5 linked regions of the Ovis aries genome follow. The protein of the gene in region 3 interacts with the protein of the main gene of each other region in a pairwise test. Links are inferred from orthologs where the notes say so. Each region holds a gene or a part of one and is shown on either strand. Other genes may lie near its edges.

The links.
Region 1: the proteins of IMMT (region 3) and PFDN1 interact in a two-hybrid assay, tested with the Homo sapiens proteins (2 studies listed by BioGRID and IntAct). The link is inferred for Ovis aries from reciprocal best matches to the Homo sapiens genes IMMT and PFDN1.
Region 2: the proteins of IMMT (region 3) and PDE4DIP interact in a two-hybrid assay, tested with the Homo sapiens proteins (2 studies listed by BioGRID and IntAct, with this or other methods). The link is inferred for Ovis aries from reciprocal best matches to the Homo sapiens genes IMMT and PDE4DIP.
Region 4: the proteins of IMMT (region 3) and TRAF3IP1 interact in a two-hybrid assay, tested with the Homo sapiens proteins (2 studies listed by BioGRID and IntAct). The link is inferred for Ovis aries from reciprocal best matches to the Homo sapiens genes IMMT and TRAF3IP1.
Region 5: the proteins of IMMT (region 3) and MRPL44 interact in a two-hybrid assay, tested with the Homo sapiens proteins (2 studies listed by BioGRID and IntAct). The link is inferred for Ovis aries from reciprocal best matches to the Homo sapiens genes IMMT and MRPL44.

The regions. Positions count from the first base shown.
Region 1 is NC_056058.1:49,170,288-49,174,327, forward strand, and holds the start of PFDN1 (prefoldin subunit 1), read right to left. Parts: upstream 2,811-4,040; 5' UTR 2,795-2,810; coding exon 2,762-2,794; intron 202-2,761; coding exon 35-201; intron 1-34. UniProt on the Homo sapiens protein: Binds specifically to cytosolic chaperonin (c-CPN) and transfers target proteins to it. Binds to nascent polypeptide chain and promotes folding in an environment in which there are many competing pathways for nonnative proteins.
Region 2 is NC_056054.1:97,759,418-97,763,646, reverse strand, and holds the start of PDE4DIP (myomegalin), read right to left. Parts: upstream 2,805-4,229; 5' UTR 2,411-2,804; coding exon 1,289-2,410; intron 1-1,288. UniProt on the Homo sapiens protein: Functions as an anchor sequestering components of the cAMP-dependent pathway to Golgi and/or centrosomes.
Region 3 is NC_056056.1:58,091,984-58,096,135, forward strand, and holds the start of IMMT (MICOS complex subunit MIC60), read right to left. Parts: upstream 2,801-4,152; coding exon 2,756-2,800; intron 1-2,755. UniProt on the Homo sapiens protein: Component of the MICOS complex, a large protein complex of the mitochondrial inner membrane that plays crucial roles in the maintenance of crista junctions, inner membrane architecture, and formation of contact sites to the outer membrane.
Region 4 is NC_056054.1:2,994,473-2,998,730, forward strand, and holds the start of TRAF3IP1 (TRAF3-interacting protein 1), read right to left. Parts: upstream 2,811-4,258; 5' UTR 2,692-2,810; coding exon 2,569-2,691; intron 1-2,568.
Region 5 is NC_056055.1:226,107,424-226,111,363, reverse strand, and holds the start of MRPL44 (large ribosomal subunit protein mL44), read right to left. Parts: upstream 2,802-3,940; 5' UTR 2,784-2,801; coding exon 2,605-2,783; intron 737-2,604; coding exon 268-736; intron 1-267. UniProt on the Homo sapiens protein: Component of the 39S subunit of mitochondrial ribosome. May have a function in the assembly/stability of nascent mitochondrial polypeptides exiting the ribosome.

The sequences.
Region 1 (4,040 bases), on a different chromosome or scaffold from region 3:
CAGGATAACCCCCTTAAGGATATACTTTACTTACATTCTTCCTACACCTTCATACATGTTAGTCTCATCTACCAAAGTCATAATCTCTGTATCTGTAAGATGTGCATGCTTTTTCGTTCTGTTCAGCTGTTCAATCTGTACATCTGCAAGCTTCACCTTCTGTTGAGTGTCAATAACTTTGGCTTGAAGCTCTGTGAAGGCCTAAAAAGAAATAAGTCCTTGATTTAGTAGGTGCAACATTTTACAGTAAATGTCTATATCAAATCTATTAAAATGAAGCCTGTTAAACAGACAAAGCCGTGAAATTTACCACAGCAAACATCTCAAAGCCAGTCTGCTAAAAACTTGAGCCCTGAACAATTCAGTGATTAGAAGCACTGACCCTCTGTGCAGTTGAAAATCCAAGTATAATTTATAGTTGACTCTCCATATAGCAGTTCCTTTGTATCCCTGGTTCTACATTTGTTGATTCAACCAACTACATATCATGTAGTACTCTAGTATTTACTATTTTAAAAATCTGTGTACAACTGGATCCCTGACGTTTAAACCAATGCTGTTCAAGAGTCAACTGTACTGAACTTACCCAGTCCTCAGAAGATGCAACCTATCTGAAGAAGCTGAACAAAGGCACGGTAAATAACAACCATATCAAGTAGCAGGTACCCAAGGATTAATAAAAGCTCTAAAGGCAACAATCACAAACCCAGAGACCCAAATCAGGAACCATTAATGTAACAACTCACCACATCTGTACTACTCAAGATTATTTAAAGCACTTTCCCACACTTGTTTGAAATATTAACATGTGAATATTAATATGAGAATACTGACATATAATAAATGTCTCATTTTCTCTTTTCAATAATCCTGAGTTAAGGATGGCAGATTCATCAGCACAGTTTACAAATTAACTAAATGTTTTAAAGAGATATAAATGACTTTCACAGGGCTGAGCAACTACTAGGTCAAAAACCAAGTACTTAATTAACTTCTGACCGCTAGTTACTGAATCTTTCTACTCTACTATCCACAGTAATATTCAGAAAATGAATATTTTAAGAGAAAGACACACAAAAAAATTCAAAGCATTGATAAAAGAATTGCATCATGATCTTCATATGCACACGATAAGCCAAACTTGACCTCTGAGTACTGTTAAAAGGTTTTTGATACTTCTGAAGTGCCTAGAATGATTTTCACATGCTGTCAAATTCTGACTTAATAATAACATCTGTGGCTGCAATACATGGCAAAAAGCTACTAACTTTTATTCTGACTTTGTTCTCACCTACTAGTAAGGTTTCAAAAGGTTTATCTAGAGGGGAGAGGAGGTACCTAAAGTTTCCTATTAGTCTCCATCCCTTCCCCTCCCCCCAAAATTATAAACATTAAAAGACCTTTAAACAAGTTTCTTCTGTAATTTTATTGGTTGACAAAACTACCCAATTTAAGTCTGTAATTATCTTCTTAGTTTGCATTCACTGTCCACAGGTTTCCCAGCAACAGACTGAAATAATACTGAGGGGTAAGTCCATTCATAGCTGTATTCTATTGTTAGCTCTCACTAAACCCTAACTTAAATTTGAACTTTTAACGGAAAAAAAAGGTAAACTTTTAAAACACTTTAAGACACAGTTTGGTAAGGAAGCTAGTATTTTGTTAAAGCTGAGATAATACAGCACTAGACAGCACCATAAGGAGTAAAGGTACAAGTTCCAAACAAAAGGCAATACACACACACAAATCCTCAGAGCAATAATACACTGCTTCATCTATTACGTGGAAGAGCTACTTCAACTGTCTTATTTCTCATGCAAAGATAGATTACAAGACAGTCTTAAACAAAATTTGCTCTTCTAACCTCAAGTAGTGGTCAAAAGGTGGAAAGTGAGGCAGAGAATGCAATATTCTAGAACCAAGCTTGGGCTGACTCTTCTGTTAAACTGTTTCCTTTTCTAGAAAAGTATCAGTTTAAAGTAGATGAAGTCTAGGCTCCTTTCCAATCCCCATTCTCCTTCTCTTCGCAAAAAAAAAAAAAAAAAAAAGGATACGCTTTTGAGTCGGTAGTGGTGTTAGAATCCTGACAACTCTCAGGTGGTGAAAACATTTCTGTGTAACAACACATTTCTAGGCAATTGTTTGAAGAGAGAAACTCAATTCCTTCTGATACCAATTTGATCTGGAAACCTTTGACTTGTTTCTTCTTTGACAAATCTTTAAAAACGAGGGTGGGGAGGGGGCGGTTGTTGGCAAAGCCCTAAGATGAACATTGCTACGAGGATACCTGACTGAACTGTATGAAGCGACCTTACAAGATATGGGATTAAAGAACTGACCTAAAAACAGACTGGACTTGGAGTTTTTCAAAGCAAATTAGTATACAGAATTACAGATGCTACAGCTCGGGCAAGCAGGCTAAGAGGCTCCAACTGGAAGCGCTCATTTCAGGCCTCACTATGGAACTGAAGGCACCAAGAGCAACGAAAGGTCTCTGGAGCTCGGAACAAGGGAACAAAACAGCTATAGGCCCGCCAAACTTAACCAGGCCCAGCCCAACCGGCTCTTACCCGGCAAAGAGCCGCTCGCCCTCGACTCCCGCCTAAGGAGGCCCGGTCCCGCCTTTGCACTCTGAGAAACCACTCCCCATTTCCCTGGGGCCTCTTTCCTTCCGCAGCACTCGAGACTCACTCGACATTATTGTCCACAGTCGCCTTAGCTTCCAAAGAAAAGCTTCTGCCTGCTCAAGACCCTCTTTTACCTTCTTCAACTCCAGATCCACGGGGGCCGCCATCTTGCTTCACTACTGCGCCTGCGCAGTGGGAGAAGCCCGGAAAGAGCGTGGGGGAAGGGCGCGCCCTGAAGATTTGATAGGGCCTCTTCCTTCTGCGCCTGCGCATGAGTGGGGCTGCTTGGTTTTCCTACCTTCCCCGTCGTTATTAACGCCTGAAATAACCGGGATTCCGATTCAGAGTACGTCTTCCCCACGTGACCTATGGGCCTGCCGTGATTCTCCACATCCTTCCAAACACGGCACAATCTGCAGATTTCGTGTGTGTGTTTTTTTAATATAAATTTATTTATTTTAATTGGAGACTAATTACAATATTGTATTGGTTTTGCCATACATCAACATGAATCCGCCACGGGTGTACACGTGTTCCCCATCCTGAACCCCCCTCCCGCCTCCGTCCCCTCGTGTGTGGTTTTAACCACTTCGACAAATAGTTTAGTTTGTGTCGCTAAATTAAGATGTATGTAGATCAAGCTAAAACCTTTAAAGTCATTCATGCCTTCAGCGAGTCCTGTGCTGTCAGGGAGGGATGAGAAAGAATCAGCCTGAGTTTCAGACATGGCAGCATGGAGAAGACCAGAAGGCTTCAGTTCAGTTCAGTCGCTCAGCCGTGTCCAGAAGGCTTAGTTGAAGCGTTTTCCCAAAGAACTTATTTATACTGAATGTTCTCAGAAGACCTTGTAGACACAGGAGTTCTCACGAGAAACCAAATTTCTTTTTAAAAGAAAAAAAAAATGCAGATTCTCTGATCCTCATCCCAAACTTACTTAGAATCTTTGATATGGGGCACAGAAATACATACTTTTGCAAACTCCTTTTATGATCTGATCTAAGTGGACTGCAAACCACATTTTGAAAATCTGCTGTAAAATAGCTGGCATTTGAACCAGAAGGATGACTAGAAGGATGGACATGAAAGAAATGGATATCTTCCTTACTCTAAAAACCTGTGAGGCAGGGGAAAGGGCAGGGAGTTTGGAACTAAACAAATCTGTATTCAAGGTTTGGTCTACACTGAGCGTAGGTATGTCTGCTTCCATTTACTAGTTGTGTATCAACAGAGTCTGTCTCCTCATTTAATATGAGAATAACAGTACTGACCTAACAGAGTTATTCTGAGGAGTAAACAAGATCAGGATGGAAAGCTCCAAGCATAGCACAATGCACACAGTAGGCACACAATAAAAAGGTATAATTAAGTTCATGTAGTTAGCATTGTTATATTTGTCTTTCAAGATACAGCAAG
Region 2 (4,229 bases), on a different chromosome or scaffold from region 3:
ATGAATCTGTGACATCTATGTTGGCTCACAGAAATACTGTACTGGAAAGCTCAAATTTAGCTGTGAAGGTCAATGAAAGAAAAGGGAGCGAAAGGAAAGTACACAAGTGTTGGGCATCCTAAACATTTTATAGAAATGAAAACACAGTTTAAACTTTTGGATACTCATACTTTTCCCTAACAATGCTGTTTCTGACAAGTTAGTGCAAATTCAAAAATATTTCTCCCATATTCTTACTGTGATGCAAATTTTATACATAATAGAACTGTTTTTCAAAGCTGTCAAGTGACAATCAACAATTTCATTTAGAAGCTCTAAGATTCTGGGATGATGTTGACTGGTTAGCAAGCTTTCCAGAAACACCTTCTAGATTGTCCACCTCTGTAACGGTATCACTAAAGAATCTATATCAAGTAGAACATGCCAGATGTTTCACAACATTAACTGAAACTACTGCTGCTGTATAAACAAGACAGCATCTGTCAGGCCCCTGTACACAACTGAATTTAAAAGATTGGTATGAACAGCTCAAAGTAAGATCAACTGCCATCTTCCAGTCATTACGAAATTCACGAGTAAAACAGGTAAAACTCTATCACCCAATAATGGATGAAGTCCTGCTCAACACCAAACATCTTCACATAGAGCTCATTATACAAACTGGCTGTAGACACGTTTTGCCTTAACATTTTAAATTCTGAATTCCCAAGTCTCTTTTATGAAAAAGTCATCATTAGTCCTCAAATGACCTCTTAATTTATAAATGTTGTCCACATATTACAATATTTTGGTGGATTAATAGGTTCTCCTCAAACCTTTACCCTATGCTCTAATCAGTTCAAGGCACAGGTGGGGATGAATGGCTTAATGCTCTAGGGCGGACTAACTTGAGAACTCCCTCCCTCAGAGAAGAAAATATTCATAAATCTAAAAGTGAAAACAAAACAGACAAAAGTAGAGAGGCGGTAGGACAAGTGAGAGGAAAGAGTTCCAGTGCCAGAAATAAGATTAAAATTTTTTTAGGGTAAAAATGAATTATGAATCTTTGTCTTAAACATGTACAATTTTGATAATTAGTGGGAAAGCCAACAGATAATCTTATAAAGAGGCTATTGTGGAAAGCAAATTACTTGTGTGAATCACATTTATTAAAATGGACAGAAGCAAAAGGTAAAGCAAAAATGGGTTACCAAGTCTAGACTATTAACCTTCCCCTAGATAGAAATCATGTGAAGCCTGAAGCCAGCTAACTTTAATCAGAAAGGCAATATGCAGCCATTTTGTATACCTGGACCCGAAGTGGCAGATAATCTTCACAGAGATCATCCCACAGCTCCTGCAGGTCTGAAATCTCCAAGGGATAACTCACAGGTGTCCTGTAAAGGGGTTTCAAAGACCTGTTAAGGAAACCAGAACTAACTCCATCTGTCATGATATGGCCAGGCCTGGTTCCAGATGGATTGGATTTCACTGGAATAGGAAGCTTGCTCCCTCGGGGGCTCTGGATGGGCTTATAATCAAGACCTTTAATCATGCTAAGAGCTAGCTCCAGCTTATGGTTACACGTATGCTGGGGAGCCTGTTCATCTGAACAGCAGTCACACTTTACAAGTTCCTTTGCACTTCTCTCAGGTTCCTCATCCTTTGGTTGTGGAGGACTAGCCTGGATACTTGCATCCAAAGATTCCACAGAGGATCCCGGGGTCCCTTCCTCCATGCTTTCTCCATCTGGAGGTACCTTCGCATTTGGTAAATCTGGTGGCCCAACCTCGGACAACGCTGGTTCTTCAGTGCAAATGCTGGTGGACCATCTGGTAGAGGGGCCACAAGAAATACTTTTCGCCACCTTTCGAGGTACCTTACAAATGGCTTCGTAGTCAGAATCAGCCACCCGCAAAGCTGCACAGCCTCGGCACCTCCTGGGTCGATTTCCGGGGCCTTCCGAAGCATGACAGCTGTGCTCCTGAATCTGATCCTCATTTTCTACCCAACACTCGAACCCTGAATAGGCAAAGTCTTCCTGGAGCAGTGCAGAGTATCTGACATCGGGTAAGCTGGAAATGTCAACCGTTCCATTCCCCGCCTTGGTCTCTGAGCCAGGGTCATCGTTATTCTTCCGATACATGCTAGCAATGCAGAACTTGAGGCGGTCCTTCTCCAGCAGCAGCTTCTGCAAGCGCTCAATAGAAAGGGCTTCGATCCGGGCAATGACGGTGTCGAATCTATAGATCCGATCGAGCATGAACGCGCACTTGCTGCAAGCAAACTCAGCTTTGCCATCGCGGGAGACATCCTTGCCCAGGACGTGCGACAACAGAACCTGGAGGTTGAGCTTGGACGCCGTGTGGAAGATCCAGCGCCGCTGGTTTCCGCACAGCTCCCGGGCACAGATCCTGCAAATCTCCTTCATCTTCCCTCCTGCGGTGGCCGAGCTTCCCGGAGGCGGCTGCTGCTCGGTGATCGCTCACTGGCGCTTGGTTGCGTTCCGTCTCCCGCCTCGGTGGCCTCCGGCTGGCATGGCACAGCTTGGTGGGGTGCCCACTCTGCAGGGGCGCTCCGCTGACACCCGCGCGCGGGTTCTGGGTACCAGAGTGATCAGCCCCGCCCCTCGGGGAGGCGGCGGGCGAGGAAATGCCTCAGGAGGATGCTGAGTGACAGCAGCGCAGGCCGCGCTCAGAACCTGCCATGTCTCCTCCAGCTGTCTCTCCCGCCAGCCGCTGTGTCCTCAATGTCCTCCCTTTTCAGCGGGCTGAGTTCGCGGTCCTCCGGCTGCCGCCCGCGGCTGACGCAAAGACTCAGAGATTGAGGATCAGATTTCAAGATGGCGCCGGCGGCTCGACGCCTGCAGCCGCCGGCAAACTCCTCTGGGAGCTGTAGTCCAGGAGGCCGGCTCCTCGCTCTGCGCATGCGGGGTGGCCAGCGCGTCACCTCGCTCCCGAACAAGTCAATGCTCCTCGCGGTACAGCGCAGGCTCGACCTGCTGTGGTTACCCAGGTGGAAGAGCGGGACGGAGGCCGACCGCTGCCAGGCCACTTTTATCTGCTAAAATTTCACTCCAAAAGCGCACCAGTCCCCTTGCGGTTCCTCCCTCCCGCCCGGGAGGACTGTCCGAGGCTCTGCACGGGGAGGAGAAAGCCGAATCCCCTCCCCTTCTGTCCACGGGGACTGCCACGTACTCTGGAGGGAGCAGTCTCGCAGCACCACTGGGTACCGCTGCGCGCTGCCTCTCTCCGGCCCCACCTCCTCTCCCTTCTCACTCCTGTTCCTGGAGTAAAAGGCCCTAGGGCTTCACCCGCGGCCGGGGAGGCGGGAATTTTAGGAGGCTCAGTTCAACCTCCCTCTGGACTGTTGGGAGTACTCAGAAAAGAGGACAAGTGTTTCTTCCCTCACCATGCTGGGGTTGAGTTTACCAGGATGATTTGCCTTTTTTTTTAGAGCGTAAATTGAGAGGCGGCACAAAGCAGTCACCTGAGAAAGAGTCCAACAAAAACCACACGAATGGTTTACCAAGAGTTTGAAGATGCCGGACAAAATGAGCTTTTTCAAGAATGTAGACACCTGAGAGTAGACTGCCGCCAGCAAACCCTCTTTCAAGTTTCACTTAAAATAAGGCTGCAGGCCTTATTTTCGGGGAGGGAAGGGGAGACAAACTCTAGAACAAAAGACCTTGTTTATTTGAGCAAGACTCCAAAGTATCAGGGAGTGCTGCTCTCTGCAGAAGTGGGGCTGGGAATTTAACTGACTTCAGTTAGTATCCTGTCTTACTCAACATTATCCAGTAGTAAGTCACCCTACCCTTGGGTATAGACCTTGAATTGCACACAAAGAGTAGAGGGAAGCTGGGGCTCTCTCTAGGTGGAACTGAGGTGTCATCCTTCATTTATAATTTTCTCCCTGGCAAACTCCAAATAGGAGGAAAAACAGTCCCAGGCAATCATCTGGAGTTTTCCCAGAGCAGGACATTTCCCAGTTACAGTAATGCCAGATTTCACTAACTTGACCTTGTGAGATATGCAGATGACACCACCCTTATGGCAGAAAGTGAAGAGGAGCTAAAAAGCCTCTTGATGAAAGTGAAAGAGGAGAGCGAAAAAGTTGGCTTAAAGCTCAACATTCAGAAAATCCAGTCCCATCCGGTCCCATCACTTCATGGGAAATAGATGGGGAAACAGTGTCAGACTTTATTTTGGGGGGCTCCAATATCACTGCAGATGGTGACTGCAGCCATG
Region 3 (4,152 bases):
CAAGGAGACCCAACCAGTCCATCTTAAAGGAGATCAGTCCTGGGTGTTCTGATGTTGAAGGACTGATGTTGAAGTTGAAACTCCAATACTTTGGCCACCTGATGCAAAGAGCTGACTCATTGGAAAAGACCCTGATGCTGGGAAAGATTGAAGGCAGGAGAAGGGGACGACAGAGGATGAGATGGTTGGATGGCATCACCGACTCAATGGACAACGGTTTGGGTGGACTCCGGGAATTGGTAATGGACAGGGAGGCCTGGCATGCTGCAGTGGTTCATGGGGTCGCAAAGAGTCAGACACGACTAAGCAACTGAACTGAACTGAACATCCTCTTATGGAAATTAAGAAAAATTCACAGAACACATTAATCTTTCATTCAAACATGTCACACTTGTGACATGTTCATTTACTGAGTATCTATTAGGAGCTAGGGACTATTATGAGTACTGATATAAATACAGTCCCTTTGAGGAGCTTCCATTTGAATGTGGAAAATACATAATTAATACACAGTATGTCAGGAAGTATAAAAGCTAAAAGTAAAACCAAGTAGGGTAAGGGTAGGTTCCAGAGTGATGCAAAGGAGAGAGTGATCAGAGGTGTCTTAGGGAAGGCCTCTCTAAAAGAAAAGTAATATCTAAGAAAATATCTGAATGGAGTGAGCTAAGCAAAGATGTGTGGGAGGACTTCAGGGCAAACAGCAAATGAAAAGGCAATCAGAAGAACAGAATGAGGCAGAGTAAAAAAAAAAAAGATATGCAAAGAGCCAGATCATGAGGAGCCCTGTGGATAGGTAATGAGTTTAGACTTTATTGTGATACGATGGGATGTCACTGGAGGGCATGGCATGGTCCAGTCCATGTGCTTTTTTAAAGGCCTTTGTTAACAACAAGGTAAAGAACTGACCCTAGGGTAGACTGAGGAGACAGTTCAGTGACAATCATGCTGTAACCTTTGGGCAGAATAAGGAAGAGTGGGCCTGAAAGGAGGGCCCCAAAGATACACCTCTACAGTTTTGCCCTGAAAGATTGCTCCGCTTCCTTCATACTCCCAGGCCCACTTGGCTTTTGGTAGCCCAGATTCTAAGATGCCTCCCATGATCTCTGTCCCCAGTGGTTAAGCCCATGATTAGACCTGTACAGGCAAAAGGGATTTTACAGATATAAGGGGGTTTCTAATCAGTTGACCTGATTTATCAAAAGGGATTTATCCAGGTGGGTTTGCCCTAATCACATAAGCCTTTTAAACCTAGGTCTGGAAATCAGAAACAGGGAAGAGATATTAAAGTCTGAGAGACAAGCTCATGGTAGCCTGCAAGAAAGTAAACATCTATGTTATAAACTGCTTCTGAGAATCTTGTGGCAAAGAATTTCAGGCTGCCCCCAGGTAGGTGAGGTGGGAGCTAGCAAGAAAACAGGGACTTCAGCCCTACAGCTGCAGGGACTGAATCCTGCTAACGAACTGAAGGAGCTTAGAAGAGGACCCTGAGCTCAAAAGAGAACCACAGCAGGGACACACTTTGCACCCCTGTATGACAGCAAGCAGATAACGGTAACCATTCACCTCTAGAAACAATAAGGTAATAAATGGGTGCTGTTTGAGGCTGCTCCATCTGTGCTACCTGAAATGTACACACAGCAACAGAAAACTAATACACACTCCACTTTCCTACAGAAGAGCCTGCTTCTCTCACCCTGGAAACGAAAGGGGAGATGGAAGATAAGCAAACTTGGAGGAAATGAAAAAAATTGACTTTTCTAACCCACTGAGGCCAGGGACTTTGCTCAATTGCTCGAGTCACAGAACCTGTTTTGTAAATTCCACATTTTGCCAAAATACAAATTCTCTTTCAATTGTGAGCAATGGAAGTAGGTTTACTATTTTAAATTTCAGTAAATTACTTTGATGTGTGTGCTTAGTCGGTCAGTCCTGTCCGACTCTTTGCGACCCCATGGACTGTAGCCTGCCAGGCTTCTCTGTCCATGACAGTCTGCAGGCAATACTGGGGTGGATTGCCATTTCCTTCTCCAAAATTACTATGATAATTATGCAGAAATAAAGGTAACTACTTGGACGTCTGCCAAAGTTGTCCTAGCACCTAGAGACAGAGATCCTCAGGCTAATCTCAGAAACGTGCACAAGGTCAGGGGCTTAACCTTCCTCGAGTTCTAGAAGCTCGAGCTCTTACTCTGTTTTTGTTCAGAGTAAGAATAGCTCAAGAGGCGTTCTCAGCTACTTAAAGAAAGGCAGTCCTTCCTGGATAATTACAACCTTGACCCCTAAAACGCGGTCTCTAGCAGTCCAGGCACCTCCTTAAGGTGCAACAAGCCAAGAATATGCGCGTCCCTCTGGGAACTGTAGTTTCCCCCCCGTCGACCTTCAACCACTGGATCCGCGAAACCTCTCACGCGCCCAACCGGCGACCCGGGCGCCAGCAGCCTCGATTGGTCCTAGACTGAGGCAGCGAGGGGCTGATTGGATGGCACGTCCCCAAGGCCGTGCCTCCCGTCCTACACCCGCCTCCCCGCCACCTTCTCTTCTCCACGCCCCATCCCGCTTCAGCAATAACCCTCCAGTCATTCCCGTCCACCGAACTCCCGAATTAACTGCCTCACGGGCCCACCCAGGACTCTCGCGATAAGGGCGGTCCGGAGACACGCCTCTGTCCTGGGGCCTAGGCAAAGCCAATGCCTCCCTTATTTTCCGCTGGTCAGTTCACCCACCATGCGCTGTCTCCCGGCGCCCCCGTCCTCACCTGGGCGGTGGATGTCACGCCGGATAACTGACAGGCTCGCAGCATCTCTACTAGGCTGACGCCGCTGCGGGTGTAACTGGGAGCTAGGGCGGCGGCGCGTGTAGGGGACACGGTGCGTCCGTGCGTGCCTGCGTCCGTGCCGCCTCTCCGCGCCGGGCGTACCGGAAGGGCAGCAAACGCCACTGCGCATGCGCAGGCCCGTCTTGCTCCTGTCCCGGCCATTTGAAGAGGGTGGGCCCTTTCCAAGCGGAAAGGGCGATTTCCCCTTCCGGGTCGCGCTGAGACGTCGGCTCTGTTACCCGAAGTATAGATTGTTAGGTAAGCGGGAGGGCTGGCGGTGGATCTGAGACTCAGGCTTTGGTCTGCCCAGGAACCAGGCAGGTGTGACTCGTCGAGAATTCAAGCAAGAAATTATCTCAGCCATTTCTGTCAGCTGAATATTTCGTAGAAAGAAAGGGATTTGCCGAAAGTTACGTAAACAATGGTGTGGTCTCTGCGCGTTCCTTTTGTTTCGCAGCCCTTCAGGGAGTCATCCTGCTTAAGGGAGATTCAGTTCAGTTCAGCTCAGCCTGTCAGTCGTGTCAAGCTCTTTGCAACTCCATGGACTGCAACACTCCAGGCTTCCATGTCCTTCACCGACTCAGGGAGCTTGCTCAAACTCATGTCCATTGAGTCGGTGATGTCATCCAACCATCTCATCCTCTCTCGTCCCCTTCTCCTACCCTCAATCTTTCGCAGCATCAGGGTATTTTCCAGTGACTCAGCTCTTCGCATCAAGTGGCCAAAGTATTGGAGTTTCAGCTTCAACATCAGTCCTTCCATTGAACACCTGGGACTGATCTTCTTTGGGATGGACTGGCTGTATCTCCTTGCAGTCCAAGGGACTCTGAAGAGTCTTCTCCAACGCCACAGTTCAAAAGCATCAGTTCTTCAGCGCTCAGCTTTCTTTATAGTCCAACTCTCACATCCATACCTGACCACAGGAAAAACCATAGCCTTGACTAGACGACCTTCGATGAAAAAGTAATGTTTGCTTTTTAATATGCTGTCTAGGTTGGTCATACTTTCCTTCCAAGGAGTAAGCCTCTTTTAATTTCATGGCTGCAGTCACCATCTGCAGTGATTTTGGAGCCCCCAAAAATAAAGTCAGCCACTGTTTCCCCATCTATTTGCCATGAAGTGATGGGACCAGATGCCATAATCTTAGTTTTCTGAATGTTGCACTTTAAGCCAACTTTTTCACTCTCCTCTTTCACTTTATCAAGAGGCTCTTTAGTTCTTCGCTTTCTGCCATAAGGGTGGTGTCATCTGCATATCTGAGGTTATTGACATTTCTCCCAGCAATCTTGATTCTGGCTTGTGTTTCTTCCAGCCCAGCGTTTCTCGTGATGTACTCT
Region 4 (4,258 bases), on a different chromosome or scaffold from region 3:
AGAACTTCTTCATTTTGCTCCTTTTGAGGTTTTTCTAGTGTGTCGACAGTGTGAGCAATCATTTCCAGCAACAAGAGGCATTAATTTCACAGGATCAACGCTTCAAGTTATGAAAGATACGGAGTTAGCTTAGCAGTAACTAAAACTCTAGAATATGGCGATTTGAACACAATACTCAGGGGTAGTAAAGAATTTTGCTCAGAGAATTGCCATGTATTATTTGAAAACGCTTTCCATATGTCAGTTGTTCTAACATCTTTATCAAATAAGTGACAATTAACATACTTATCTTTATACAGGTAGAGAGATTACTTTTGACCTTCAGTTCAGTTCAGTCGCTCAGTCCTGTCCGACTCTTTGCGACCCCATGAACCACAGCACGCCAGGCCTCCCTGTCCATCACCAACTCCCGGAGTTCACTCAAACTCACATCCATCGAGTCGGTGATGCCATCCAGCCATCTCATCCACTGTCATCCCCTTCTCCTCCTGCCCCCAATCCCTCCCAGCAGAGTCTTTTCCAATGAGTCAACTCTTCGCATGAGGTGGCCAAAGTACTGGAGTTTCAGCTCTAGCAAAGAACACCAAAGAACACCTAGGACTGATCTCCTTTAGAATGGACTGGTTGGATCTCCTTGCAGTCCAAGGGACTCTAAAGAGTCTTCTCCAACACCACAGTTCAAAAGCATCAATTCTTCGGTGCTCAGCTTTCTTTACAGTCCAACTTTTGACCTTAGATTAGCAAAAAGGCAGACCAGTGCATCCCAATGGGGAACACGGAACTCCTTCCCCACAGTCTGGCTACCTGGCAATGGAGTGGATTCCTGCCTGAACTCTCCTCCCCCCTCCAACCTTGCCGGAGGTGGGGACAGCAGCCACCATGATAAGCCCACACCAGGACCCACAGAAAGATGCAGGCCGCCCCCCCTTCCCCCCCCAGCCTCTTTCCTGGCTTTCTGGTTTCAGTGAGAAAACAGGACAAACACAGAAAATCAAAGTGTCTGGCTGGGGCAGCAACAGGTGCAGTCAGCCACGTACCTCCTGGCTAAGTGACTGGATCCCTCCTGGGTCAGAGGACACCACCCGCCCATTTCACAGGAAGAGGTGATGACACTCAAGGCCTGGCTCTCCGTAGAGGCTCCTTACACAGCCCTGTCCCACCAGGCTCTCCACACAGCCTCGTCCCTTCCCCAGACACTGTCCAGGGCGGTCTAGGTGCTGCACTAGCTTAGGAGAACAAGGAGGCCAGTCAAGACAGCCCTGGGGATGTGGGTCAGTTTTGAGAGGTTTAAGCACAGCTTATAAGCACAGAGAGGTCCACATCATAAGCTAAGTCAAGAGAGCAAAGACAAGAAAGGCACAGTTTGTGGAAGAGTAAGATGCCAAACCTGTTGGAAGGATTGAGAAGTGAAGTTTAAGGACCAACATGAGCAAGAATAGGAGGCCGGGACACCTGCAAATTGAACCTGATTCCTGAAGCCCAGAGAGCATGCCTGGGTTCCCAAGGGCAACACCACACTAGGGCGCACCATGGAAATGGGCGCTGACACTGGAGTCACGGAGCCGTGACTGACTCCATTCAGCAGTGAGTGTTTGCTGTGCACTTTCTGTGTACCGTGCCCGGGATGTGCCAACAAACAAGTCTCCATCACTCAGGAACCCGCCAGCCAGTGGGCAAGAGGGTGAGACAACTAATATCAAGGCATGCTCCGCCATCGATCAGCAAATACAGCCCTGCTTTTTATAGTTATTATCCTTCCAGGTCCCCCAACAACCACCTTCAATAAGTCCACCCAAAGGTATTGATTAAACATCTAATATGGGCAAGAGCCGACTCACTGGAAAAGGCTCTGATGCTGGGAAAGACTGAAGGTGGGAGGAGAAGGGGACAACAGAGGGTAAGATGGTTGGACGGCATCACCGACTCAATGGACACGAGTTTGAGCAAGCTCCGGCAGGTGGTGAAGGACAGGGAGGCCTGGCATGCTGCATGGAGTCCATGGGGTTGGGAAGAGTCGGACAGGACTTAGCGACGGAACAACAATGGGGTGATCACAGCAGGAGCAGGTGGTGGGAAACTCGGGTGGGGCACTAACGAGAAAATAATGTCCTTCTCCTGGGATTTGTAAACACTCTCCATCTGCCAGACGCTGCAAGGGAAAAAAAGTCTCAGAAACAGCCCTGCCAGGCTGAGTGGAAGATCTGCTCTAAGAAGACTGGGGCAGGACGGAAAACATAAGAATGCTCCCCAAGAGCCGGGACACTCCCGGGAAAGGTGGCCCAGGGGTCATCCGTCCCGCCGAGGCCGGGCTCCTCGGGCAGGGGCAGCGCTCCGAGACGCGAGGTCCGATCCCGACGCCAGCTTTGGTCCGAACCCCCCAACCCCCGTCCTCCGACTCCCACCCCAACACCGACCGCCGATCTGCATCCCGGTCTCCGGCCCGCACCCCGACATCCCACATGGGCCCCGACCCCCGGACCTGCACCCTAGCCCGCACCCCGGGCCGCACCCGGTCCGCGCACGGGGACCCGGCCCAGACCGCAGTTCCGATCCCGGCCCGGCGCTCACCTCCGTGATGATGTCGTGCAGGTAGCGGAACGGGGGCTTGTTCAGCAGCTTCTCGGTCAGCGGCGGCCTCCGGATCACCTTGCCCAGAGCCTCCTGCGTCCGCTTCACCACCGCCGCGTTCATGGCCGCGCCCCGCCGGCCACAGAGCCTAAGCCCGGCTCCCGGGCCGCCGCCGGCCCCGCCGCCGCCTCGGCTGCCCGCTCCGGCCTCGACGCGCCGCTCGGGTTCCCATCCCACAGTGCACCGGAGTCCGCCCAGGCGCGTGCGCCGGGCCGCGGCCCTCGGTCGCCAGGGGTGGCGCGGCCTTAGCAACGGACGCGCCGCGGGGCCCCGCCCCCTGCCCGGCTGCGCGCGCACGCGACGACGCCGGCGTGGGTGGGGCTGCGTGCCCGCGGAGGGACAGCGCCCAGGCCCCGCCCCTCTAAGCCGCCGCTCGAGGGAGGTGCTTCTCCACTCGCCACTGAGGAGACCGCCCGAGGACTGGCCGGCGGCCGCAGCGCTTCCAGGATTTCCGGTGCCTTTTTCTCAGGTTTAAGGCGAACTGGACTGAGTGCCCTCGAAATACGCATGCCCTTTCCTGTTTGCTACTTAATACGGCTTCCTGAGCGAGTATTAATGTCTCTGCTTGCCAACAAAGATCCGTCGACTCAAAGCTATGGGTTTTCCAGTATTCATGTATGGCTGTGAGAGTTGGACTCTAAAGAAAGCTGAGTGCGGAAGAATCGATGCGTGTGAACTGTGGTGTTGGAGAAGACTCTTAAGAGTCCCATGAACTGCAAGGAGATCAAACCAGTCCATTCTGAAGGAAATCAGTCCTGAATATTCATTGGAAGGACTGATTCTGAAGCTGAAACTCCAATATTTTGGCCACCTGATATGAAGAACTGGCCCATTTGAAAAGATCCTGATGCTGGGAAAGATTGAAGGCAGGAGGAGAAGGGGATGACAGGGTGAGATGGTTGGATGGCATCACTGACTCAATGGACATGAGTTTGAGTAAGGTCTGGGAGTTGGTGATGCACAGGGAGGCTTGGCGTGCTGCAGTCCATGGGGTCGCAAAGAGTTGGACACAACTGAGCGACTGTAATGAACTGAGTGAGTAACTCCTTTTCTCTGAGTCTCTGTTTCTATAAAGCAGGAGAATCTGTGCCAGCCTACCTAACTCCCAGGGAGGTGATGACCACCAAATGATGTGCCAGGGCTCTGTAACCAGCACAAAGCCACACCCTTGTTCTACTGGGTGTTTATGGTTGTGTCCCATCTGTCTTTCATCCACCACGCACAGGCTCACAGTAGATCCTTTCCACGCTTTGCGGTCTCTTTTTACTTCTTCTCATGGATGCCTTTGGGCTTCCCTGGTGGCTCAGATGGTAAAGAACGCCTGCAATGCGGGAGACCTGGGTTCGATCCCTGGGTTTGGAAGATCCCTCAAAGAGGACATGGCAACCCACTACAGTATTCTAGCCTGGAGCATCCACATGGACAGGGAAGCCTGGCAGGCTGCAGTCCATGAGGTCGCAAAGAGTCCCACACGACTGAGTGATTAAGCATGATGAATACCTTTATAGTTTTTATTTACACTCATTTTTGCCATTTTCAAAGTGCTCCATGCTTTATGTGTTCTTTGCTTATGATGTGGAGTTTTTAACTTAAATTTTATATCTGATTATTATTGACATTCAATAAAATT
Region 5 (3,940 bases), on a different chromosome or scaffold from region 3:
TCAATGGACATGAGTATGAGTAAACTCCAGGAGTTGGTGATGGATAGGGAGGCCTGGCATGCTGCAGTCCATGGAGTCGCAAAGAGTCGGACACAACAGAGTGACTGAACTGAACTGATAAAAAGCTTTAGGTCTTTCTCAGTTTGGATCAGGAGAAAAATTCACATGTAACCTGCCAAGGTCATAGCGCAAAGAAGTAAAGTACAAAAAGAAGTTTTTCTTTCTACCTCAAGCATGTTCCAGCACGTGCAGCTAACAATCACCTACCCTGATGAAGAGTGCAGTCCTCTCGGGTCCACTGCTCCGTAGCAGGGCTCCAATCACTGCAAAGAAAGTCTGCCGTAACACAGCTGGGGGGACAGGGAAGTCCGCACTCAGCGTCAACTGCTCCACTGCCAAGTTTCTAGCCACGTGACACACAACTTCCTCACCGGTGAGATAGTCAACCAGACTTTTAACGCCTTCAGTGGGCAAGTCTGGGAAAGCGTCCGCAAAAAATTGCGTGAGGCATGTCTGTGAAAAAGATGTCCCTTGTTCAGATAGTTCTTGATTATCTTTGAGGTTCAGAAGAACAGCTTCCTTCTCTATTCCAAGTTTTTGGCGTTTGGCCTCCTCGCTTTTAATATAGCAGCTATTAACAAACGCAGTTTTGAGAAGATCTAATGAAAAAGTTTCCTGTAACCGAGGGCCAAATGCTTGTATTTCAGCATGGTAATCCCAATTGGGCTTCTCCGAACTGAAAATGTAAAACACAAGACAGTAAGAGGTAATAAAGAGAACAAGATGTGCTGTGATGCAAACATTTCTCATTGTGATGCAATTTTATTTAATTATATAAAGAAAATTTTAAAAGACTGAGCTTCATTTTAATTCCAGAATCTGATTTTCTAAAAATTAAAACTTACGTCAGATGATTACTTGTGGTCCTTTGCTGGATTAACTGTCCCTCTGAGTCAACTGCCACATCAAAGCAGTTCATCAACAGAGACTAAGACCTTATCCTCACTTTTAGGTTCTACTGTTATAACCATGGAACTATGCTTTATACTCACACATGAAATAGAAATTATAATTTCATATGTTCAAGTCATAAACACTAAGTATGTTATATTTATATTGTATTTTATTAAGATTTGGAAGCATTCATTGAAAATTTGCAATTGATACTAGATTTTATTGCTAATTTTCAATGAATGCTTCCAAATCTTAAAACAATAAAATACAATATTGTAAGTAGGTTAAAACTTCACAACCATTCTCAAGAACGACTAAAAGGTCTTTTAAAAACTAAAGACAATAAACCAAAAATAAAACCCTCAAGTAAAAAAGGGCTGCAAAGCATAAAGATCTGGGTTGTAAGTCATTAAGATATATATAATCTATATAATATATAAAGTTTCTAACAACTATAAAAGCCTAAAATGACTAACCTCACTATAACCAAATGTAGATTAAGAAGGAACACTATTTTACTATTGTTTTTAGGAAAAAACAATATTCTGTGTTGAAAAAATATAGAACTATGAACATATATATTCCTACCAAGTGTATAAAATACATCGGCTTTTTGGGGGGAAGGGCAATATTAAAATAGCTATCAATTTTCATACTAAATTTCCAAAGGAGCAATAACTTCAAAGCTATTCGGTGTTACATCGGTTGTAGTAGCAACAGTAACTCAAACACCCGTCAAACGGAGCCATCAAAGAGTGAGGTGCATCTATTTGTACCACCACGACACAGGTCAAAGAAACATTATTTAAAAAAAAAAAGCAAAACCTCATGTGTAAGGGGATCTTTTCTGGAGTTATATGAAGATCTGAGGGTCTTCCTACCAGACTTTCCTCTAGCAGAACAAGATTAATTATGGCAAAAACCTAAAGCCAAGCTGTTTTCCCTTTCCTCTGAACAGTGGACTTGTCATTGTGTACTTTTTTCCTTGCCCTATATCGCAATACCGTTTTGTGCTTTCCTCCCTCTTGTCCGTACCCAAGGAATTCTGAGGCAGCAATACAAAGCAGGGGCTAAAACACGCAAGCCCGGTATAGGTTACCCTCCAGCTGGCCTTATTTCTCACAAGTCTCAGTCTGCTGCTGCTGCTGCTAAGTCGCTTCAGTCGTGTCCGACTCTGTGCAACCCCTCTGACAGCAGCCCACCGGGCTCCCCCATCCCTGGGATTCTCTAGGCAAAAATGCTGGAGTGGGTTGCCATTTCCTTCTCCAATGCATGAAAGTGAAAAGTCAAAGTGAAGTCGCTTAGTCGTGTCCGACTCTTAGCGACCCCGTGGACTGCAGCCTACCAGGCTCCTCCGTCCATGGGATTTTCCAGGCAAGAGTACTGGAGTGGGGTGCCATTGCCTTCTCCTACAGGATTCCAAATGGGAGTTCCAAGAGCGTCGGGGGCAACCATGCGCCCAGCAGAAATGCATGCCCTTTGCCTCCGCCACGCGTCCACGACCCGTGGGAGTCTCTATCGCACAACTAGGGTCAAGCCAGGAGCAAACGAACGATGAGCATCCCTACCCGCCCCCCCGGCCGAAGCCGCGGGGAGCACGCCCCGGCTCCAGGACAGCCACCCCTAACCTCTTCCCCCGGTGGCTCCTACCGGCGCACCGGCGGCGGCGGGCACCGGAGCAGGCGCCACCGCTCTAACTCCTTCTGGAACCGGAAAGCGGCGCGGAATCCCTTCTTCACTCCCCGAACCGGCGGAGCGAGAGTGGGGCCGGCCGTGGCCAGGAGGCAATGGGGACCTCGCAGCAGCAGCTTTGTCAGGCCGGATGCCATTGCACCGGAGAAAGCAATGGAGGGCGGAAAAAGGAGAGCCGGAGCAGTGTCGCAGTAACACAGTTCCCCCGGAAACCGGGAGAGGCGGGGCTGAGCCAGCACCCGGTGGGTGGGGGCCAGTAGGGGTGTTTTAGTGGGCATGCGCAAACGTTGGTTTTTGTTTTGTTTTTTCCCTCAGTTAAGTCCAGTGGCTCAGTTGTGTCTGGCTCTTTGCCATCCAACCATCTCATCCTCTGTCGTCCTCTTTTCCTGCCTTCAATCTTTCCCAGCATCAGGGTCTTTTCCAGTGAGTCAGTTCTTTGCATCAGGTGGCCAAAGTATTGGAGCTTCAGTTTCAGCATCAGTAGTTACAGTGAATATTCAGGGTTGATTTTTTTGCAGGATTGACTAGTTGAATCTCCTTGCTGTCCAAGGGACTCTCAAGACTCTACCAACACCACAGTTCAAAAGCATCAATTCTTCAACGTTCAGTCTTCTTTCTGGTCCAACTCTCACATCCATACATGACTACTGAAAAAACTATAGCTTTGACTAGAAGGACCTTTGTCGGCAAATTAACGTCTCTGCTTTTTAATATGTTGTCTAGTTGGTCATAGCTTTTCTTCCAAGGAGCAAGCGTCTTTTCATTTAATGGGTGTAGTCACTATTGTATAGTCACGGTGATTTTGGAGCCCAAGAAAAAGAAAATCTGCCACTGTTTTCATTTTTTCCCCATCTGTTTGCCATGAAGTGATGGGACAGGATGCCATGATCTGTTATTTTAATGTTGAGGGTTTTTGTTTTTGTTTTTAATATGGAATGCTTCACGAATTTTCGTATCATCCTTGTGCAGGGGCCGTGCTAACCTCTGTATCGTTCCAGTTTTAGCATATGTGCTGACGCGAGCTGGAATGTTGAGTTTTGAGTGGTTTTTTTGCTCTCCTCTTTCAGTTTCATCAAGAGGCTCTTTAGTTCCTCTTCGCTTCCTGGCATTAGGGTGGTGTCATCTGCGTATCTGAGGTTATTGATATTTCTTCCTGCAATCTTGATTCTAGCTTGTGCTTCATCCAGCTTGGCATTTCAAATGATGTACTCTCCATGGAAGTTAAATAAGCAGGGTGACAATATCCAGACTTGACGTACTCCTTTCCCAATTTGGAACCAGACCGTTGTTCCAT